Caenorhabditis elegans: one gene and its partner. The protein of the gene in region 2 binds, or shares a complex with, the protein of the main gene of each other region. Each region holds a gene or a part of one and is shown on either strand. Other genes may lie near its edges.

Evidence for each region. The genes of interacting proteins can lie anywhere in the genome.
Region 1: pid-1 (region 2) and tofu-6 share a complex: the UniProt entries of both Caenorhabditis elegans proteins name them as parts of the pid-1 variant of the PETISCO complex.

The regions. Positions count from the first base shown.
Region 1 is NC_003280.10:5,419,229-5,423,258, reverse strand, and holds tofu-6 (Embryonic developmental protein tofu-6), read right to left. Parts: upstream 2,012-4,030; 5' UTR 1,981-2,011; coding exon 1,814-1,980; intron 1,770-1,813; coding exon 1,679-1,769; intron 1,632-1,678; coding exon 1,491-1,631; intron 1,448-1,490; coding exon 1,124-1,447; intron 1,075-1,123; coding exon 903-1,074; intron 858-902; coding exon 742-857; intron 688-741; coding exon 595-687; 3' UTR 522-594; downstream 1-521. Other genes in the region: F07F6.7 (Apolipoprotein L, 1), read left to right, coding at 1-99, 148-243, 291-416; EEED8.15 (PHR domain-containing protein), read right to left, coding at 2,370-2,834, 3,326-3,388, 3,437-3,985. UniProt on the Caenorhabditis elegans protein: Component of the pid-1 and tost-1 variants of the PETISCO complexes, which have roles in the biogenesis of a class of 21 nucleotide PIWI-interacting RNAs (piRNAs) that possess a uracil residue at the 5'-end (also called 21U-RNAs) and embryogenesis, respectively.
Region 2 is NC_003280.10:7,689,158-7,692,463, reverse strand, and holds pid-1 (Protein pid-1), read left to right. Parts: upstream 1-1,907; 5' UTR 1,908-1,960; coding exon 1,961-2,014; intron 2,015-2,064; coding exon 2,065-2,175; intron 2,176-2,221; coding exon 2,222-2,334; intron 2,335-2,379; coding exon 2,380-2,446; intron 2,447-2,493; coding exon 2,494-2,658; 3' UTR 2,659-2,774; downstream 2,775-3,306. Other genes in the region: nhx-2 (Na(+)/H(+) exchanger protein 2), read left to right, coding at 1-40, 268-541, 593-736, 911-1,000, 1,044-1,211, 1,259-1,368, 1,416-1,644; F18A1.1 (Receptor L-domain domain-containing protein), read right to left, coding at 2,775-3,306. UniProt on the Caenorhabditis elegans protein: Component of the pid-1 variant of the PETISCO complex which is required for the biogenesis of a class of 21 nucleotide PIWI-interacting RNAs (piRNAs) that possess a uracil residue at the 5'-end (also called 21U-RNAs).

The DNA.
Region 1 (4,030 bases), 2.3 Mb from region 2:
AAAAACTTCGACGATGTCCAGTCTCATTTGAAAACACTTTTTGGTGTTTCTCTCGCCGGAATCACAGGATTCGGAATTAAAATGGCCGCATCTTCCATGGTAGAATAGTTGTTTTTTTGAAATTTAAATTTTTACCTTCGTTTTTAGGGCCATCTCACGAATGCACTTATGAAAGGAATGCTGCAGAGCGTTGCAGCCATCGGAATCGTTCTGGACGGTGTTACCCTGGCCATGAGCGCTAATGTAACCGCGAACAATGTTATCAAAATATAATATTAATTTCATTTCAGACGCTTAAAAACGGATCTTCCTCTGAATTGGCAGGAAAAATTCGTGAAGCTTCCGGCAAGATGGAAAGGATGCGACACAATGTTGTAACCAACTTCTTGAATTACGACGCCTGGAACAGCGATTAGTTTTCACTTTTCAAAGTTTCTTGATTTTTTTCTTGTTGATTTTCTTTTCTTTTTGTTGTTTTCTCGTTGTTATTTTTCTTGTTGTTGTTCTTATAAAATCTGACACTGAATTAAAATGTTCATTTTTTTGACAACATCATAGATTCAATGTAATTTCGACAAAAAAAATGGGACAGATTTACAGCTCGAGCTCACGGAGCATGTTCTTCACTCCATCAATCTTCTTGAGTAGATCTTTGACGACATCAGCATCGTTCGAAATTTGAGCAGTCTGAAAATAAAGCCAAATTAAAACTGAAAATCCCTTTAAATCATCAAATCTCACCACTCCAGAATTATTGTGCTGAAGAAGAGTCTCGCGGGAGTATGCATAGTGTGGCTGCTGACTGCGTGGCAAGTATTCACAGACACCTTTACGTTGAAGACGGTCAGCAAGAATCGCTGTAAAAATTATTATGAGGGGAATTTTCAAAAGAAAAAACGCACATTTTCCACAGAACAGATTGATCATGTTAATAGAGCCTTGAAATCCACAAGCCATGGCGTGAAGCGTCGAATTTTCCATTTGTCCCCATTTTTTAACAACCTCGCGAATATTATCAAATGATGGAATGGCGACTGGTGACCAGGTAAGACCATCTAGTCCACACAAGGAAACCTGAAAATAAATAGAAAAAATATGTTAAACATTTGAATGGAACTCTTACCCTTGTCGGCATCGACTGGAAAACTTTTGGCAATTGGAAGCATTTTGCCTTCTCATAATTGATAATTTTTCCAAAATCAACGAGATAAAGCTTGGTGGCTGAGATGCGTCGAACGCGTCGAACGGAACGGGGAGCATCACGGAAGACTCCATCGTAGCCAATTTCGAGCTCCGAATCGAATGGAACAATTTGAGCATACGCGTTCATTTTCTCGTGCATTGAATCATATTTTTCTTTCATTGACGAATCATTTATGCGGAGAAGAGTCAACGCGAAAAGATCTGGAGCCACTGATGAGGATGGAAGATAGTCGACAACTTCGACCTAAATTGAAAATTTAATATAAGCTGAAGGAAAAGTAAGAAACCTCGATATCCTTGTTGAGTGGAAGCCAGGATGATGATAGAAGAACTGGTCCGCTTTTCGATGGTGGAGATGATACAAGCTTCTGAACGGAATTGGAAGCCATTGGGAGAAGAGATCCTCCGACGTTCTTATGATCGGTAACCTTAAAATTACAGTTTTAATTTGAATTTATATATTCGCAACGCTCACCTTCAACGTGAAATTTTCGCCGATCAGATTTCCGTCGTTCAAATTCTTGCGAACTTCATCAGCATCTGCTACCGACATCATGTTCACAAATCTGAAGATTTTAAATGAATCGTTTCTAGAGTCTCACTATCTTACCCCAATTGAACTTGACCATCGTTGGATTGTCCAACAACACGGCAATAACTGACTTTTCCAAAGTTTTGGAAGACATGGAACAAGTTCCAATCATTCCAAGCTTTCGGAATATTGCGAATATGGAATCCGGCGTCTTTCAGATAATATGCGGTCGAGCTGGAAGCCATCTCTAAAAAATGTAATTCTGAAACTGAAAATATTCTTGCTTTAATTTTAAAAAAATGCTTGAAATGCAAAAAAAGCGAGCAAAAATGAAATCTCCCATTTTTCGCGCGTATTCCAGCGGTGTGCAATAGAGCGCACTTGTTTAAAAAAAACTACAGTACCCTTGAAATCATTATTTACAGGCACAGAATTTCGAAAAGATTCATTATTTCCCACGGAGAACGATTAAAATGATTAAAAATTGCTTTAAAAAATTTTGAAAGACAAATGGACGGAGAAAATTAAAAATTATTGAATAAAATAGCGAATTAATTAATGCTGTGAATTTGAGAATCATTAAGATGATATTTCGTTGCGAGACCAAGTTGTGTGGATTGAAGAAAGCAGGTGATCACCAAAATTTGAGATAGAGTCCTCCGACGTTTGCAATTGAGTACAAGATATCTGATTTTCCCTGAACTCGTTCAAAAATGCGTATAGTCCTTTCGCCGGAATTGTTTGTGTGCACATTGTACAATTTTCCATCTTTAATGTATCTCTCCTTTCTTACACAAGAAGTTCCATCTTTATTCTTCCAAATTGTTATCATTTTATTTCTATAAATGAAGGTTGATACAACAATTCCACCGGTTATCTCATGAGTTCCAAGTTTCAAACAGCCACTGTTAAACGTTTTACAAAAAACTTGATTGTGAGATTTCAGATAAGTACCATCGAAGTTGTATACGGTGTAAGCAGCAAGAGTTTTCAGACGATTTGGGAACGATACTCCACGGGTTTTGAGTGTTTCATTATACTTATTGATCTCGGAGAGCCGCCAAGCACCGCAGATTCCAGTTGCAATCGGAGTGTAACGCTGGAAATTAAAACAAATTTTTGATGGAATATATATTGATAGGGAGGAGTTTTAGGAAAGCTACTCCCGAATTGTAATCCAAAATGAGACTGATTTTTCACAAAATCTTTTGTTTAAAGCCTATGATTTTTTTAAATTATTATGTAGATATTTCCAACTGAGAATGCCTATTACGCAACATATTTAACGCTCAAAATATCTCGAAGAGAAATCCACAGTAATATGTAAATGACTACTGTAACCCCAAATCTTTCAGTTTAGTTCGAATTGAAAAAGTTACTGTAGGTTTCGCTACGAGATATTTGCGCAGAAAATATGTTGCGAAAATTAAAATCCATTTAGTTTCAGGAGTTTTTTGGTTCAAAGTAGCTCTACATTATTCAAATTGCACTGGAGTTCACTTCCAAATGTAAAAAATTGAGAGTTGGCAGGCATGTACGCCTGCCTGCCACCGATGCCATGGATGCCTTAAGTTCCTTCCAAAAATTTACCTGTAATTCCTTCTGTCTCTCCCTTTCGTCAATCTCGTCGAACTTCAGTTTGAGAAGTCTTATCTAGAAAAAAACATTTTCAACTAATTTTATCCCTACAAAAAACTATACCGTTGAATTTTGTTTCACTTCCGTTTCTTTCATCTCTTCGATTTCAGATCGTAATTGGCGAATTTCAGACAAAAGTTCTGATTTTTCAATTTCGTTGGGTTCACCCACGAGAGGTTCCAATGCCCCAAGTGGATCACTGTAACGAATTTCAGTGGTCTCTGATATTTGTTGATCCTTAACGGCTTCAGCGATTTTTTCAATAAGATCATCAACTTTTGCAGTAAATCCCACATTGTTTCCAATCCCGAATTCATCGGTGTTGGACACTTCACGAGATATAGTTTCCGATTTTTCAGATTCTTCAGTATCATCATTCTGAATAACTTCTTGGGAAGTGTTAACTCCCGCTTCATCAGAAGATTCTTCTTTTACAGATACTGCTTCTTCGTCAGAAGAAACATCTCCATTGATGCTAAGGATATCTAAAGCATCTTGAACTTCCTTCGACCTCTGTTCCATTTTCAATGCCATCTTTGCCACTTGAGATTCGCCATCTTCCTTCACAAATTCAAAACTCGAATCACTGGATGATCGGCTATGCGAAGACATTGGTTAAGGAGACGAAGAAGAATGAAATTGGTACCAAGTCTGAAA
Region 2 (3,306 bases):
ATCTTTGTGGAGAACTTTTCGGTCTTTCAAGTATTATGGCGTAAGTTAATTTATTTCAGAATTTCTTTTTTATATTGAAACTTTAGCCCTACTCATATTTTCATATTAAATTTTGTATTAAAAATCGGAATTTTAAAATGTAAACTTAAGGTCTAGAGATTGAAGATACTAATATGAAAAGTTTTGGCAAAAACCGTAATTCTCTTCCAGAGCTGTAAAACTGAAACAAAATATAACTAGAACTAATTTTCAATAAAATTTTTGCAGAATTGTATTTTGTGGTGCTGCCATGCGTCAGTACTGCCGTGAAAATGTGGACCCAGACACGGTAAAAGCCACAGAATCATTCATCAAAGTGCTTTCTCTTGCATCGGAAACAGTTATCTTTGTCTTTTTGGGACTCTCAACAGTATCCTCAAACCATCACTGGGACACATCTTTCATCGTTCTTACTGTAGTTTTCTGCTTGATCTACCGTACCCTTGGAGTTGTTGTTATGTGCTATTTCTTGAATAAGTATCGTCTGAATAAGTACACAAAGGTGAGAATTAATTTGTGTTATTTGATAAAAAAAAGTATATGTTTCATACAGGTAGACCAATTTATCATGGCTTATGGAGGTCTTCGTGGTGCCATTGCATACGGTCTTGTCGTTGCAATTCCAGATTTTATACCCGGAAAGAATATGTTTGTCACCAGTTGTATCATTGTCATCTACTTCACTGTATTCCTCCAGGTATCTTTTTAAACAATCTAGCTATATTTTATACCCGTGATGTTTTTAAAAAACATACCTTACTATTACTTTTCAGCATTTCATTTACATAGCCTTCTAATGTGCCTAGTTAAATTTTGAAAAAAAATCTGGATTATTTCCAATACTTCTAAAATAGATTTTTAACATTTTCAGGGAATTACACTGAAACCAATTGCCGAATTCCTACAAGTTGAGAAAAAGAATGTTCACTCAAAGAACATGATTGAGCATATTTACAGCGAAGTGAGTTTTCAGAACCAAAATTCCAGTGAAATGAAAATTATAGCTTATCGACACGACTATGGCTGGAATGGAAGACATTGCCGGTTTCAAGGGGCATCATTGGATTCGTGATTCGTGGAATGCACTCAACAATAATTATTTGAGACCAATTTTAGTTAATAAGAACAATATGAAGGAGATGGATAAGACTAAATTGGTCAGAAAGTACAAGGTATGGTAATACGCTTAATGATATTGTTATTCATAATTAATTTACAGCATTTGGTTGATGAAGATGCAAAGAAGATTGCACGTGGAGATTTAAATAGTAATATGGTATTTACAAAAGCTCTTATTGAACATACAAGAAGTCGAACAAATACAATGATGTAAGTTTCTTCAAACTTCTGAAATCAATTATTCCAAATACTTTCAGCGATGGAGTAAGTTCGACTAGTAAAATAGATTTCACCAAACACATGAAAGAGAATTTTGGAGTAACAGTCTATGATGATCATAGTACTGTACCTATGACACCAACTCATTTATTCCAAGAAACAACTGAAGTTGAATATTCGGTTCGGAGCGAAATCAACGACAATGATGGATTTGAAAACGATGGGTATGAATCGGACGAATCAGGAAGCTTCCACGAAAGAGTATAGGTTTTTTACCTTAATTTACAATTTCTTTCTGTTTTAAACTAGTCTCAAATAGGTAGACTGTGTTTTCTCAATAATGTACATTCATCGAATGAAATTTCTTTTTTTTCTGCATCTATATTCTCATATATTTTGTTAACGTTAATTAACAAGCTAAAAAAAAAGATTTTTACAAGTTTTTTAATTGCGCGCTACCGTAACAAGTTTTTTCGCTTCGAGACCCATGCCTTCAAAATGGACATGTGTCTTTAAAACTTACAGTAACGGTGTTAAAATTATTGCACACAATTTCTTCGGCTGACATTCGAATTTTCCAATTATGTCGGCTAAAAGGGAGTTTTCGCATATTACTTTGGCATCCACACCATTTAAAGTGAGTTTTATCATTTTTTCAGAATTAATAACAATAAAACTTTTTTTCAGAAAAGAATCGATCAGAATTCGTTAAAAACCGACTCGGATATTGAAAAAGACACAAATATCGCACACAAATGCGCTGAACGGTTCAACTACAATACAAATCTTCACAGAAAAGTAATAATCTATTAATGTTGATGACGAAAGCTTTTTTTAATTTTAGGTGACGTTGAGCGATCGTTTCGAGTTGGCAGCCCTTGGATACGAAATGAAAGCAAAGCCGAGAACAATCATCGAAAAACATAATGACTGCGACGAGTTTCATTTTATCTATAGGTTTGTGAAGTACCCACATATTATAACAAATGTTTTAATTTTCAGAAAAGAAAAGAAGAATGATTATGGAACTGGCTCACCACTTTCAGCCGGATTGAGCCTATCTAATCCGGTAAGAAATAAATATTAAATTCACGCATAAAATTATATCATTTTCAGTTGCCAGCTGGACGTGGATTCCTCTCTCCAGCGATTCAGAATACCAGCAACCAGTTCACCTTTTCTGGAAGTCCAAGAATTACCCCCCAGAAGCACACCCCAGTATCGGCCAATCACAAGCCAGCCAGATCCATTTTCGACGACATTCCTTCGAATATTGCATAAGTTTTCACTGTTAATTTACTGTTTTTACTGTTTCATCTTGTTTTGAGTTTATAAAAATGATGTTTCGTTGAATTCAAAAATTTTATAAATTACATTTTAAAAATAACGACATAAAGTTAAAGTTCTCGATCTTCAGTTCCACTCTCATCCGAAGACCTCCAGTTCATCGTTTCTATTTTCACTTTCACAAACATTTCCGAGTTATCAACACCAGCATTCAGTCTATAATCTTCTTCTAGATTAACTGGCTTATCGTAGATGTTAAAGCTTTTTCCTTTTCCATATGTCGTGATCGCCGTCTCTCGTAATTGTTGTTTCCTTTTAGCCCAGGCAATCCACTTCTCCTTTTCACGTTCACTCAAATGATTTTCCAGTTGAACCAGAAGCTCTTCGAATTTGTTCGTGTCCGTGATAATTTCGTTCGGCTCAATAATTTTCCTTTTCTCCATTATTTCCAAAATCATCAGAATTCGATCTTCTTCGTCACCTTCTGCATCGTCAATTATTTCTTTGATCGCTTTATGAACTGCTTCAAAATACTCCAATTCTCGTTCATCAGCTTTTCTTGCCTCAAGTGCCATGTTCTTCGTTCTTCCTTTCCATTTTGTTTCTCCTAAACCAGTCAGTACTGCAATCGGAAGACCTTCT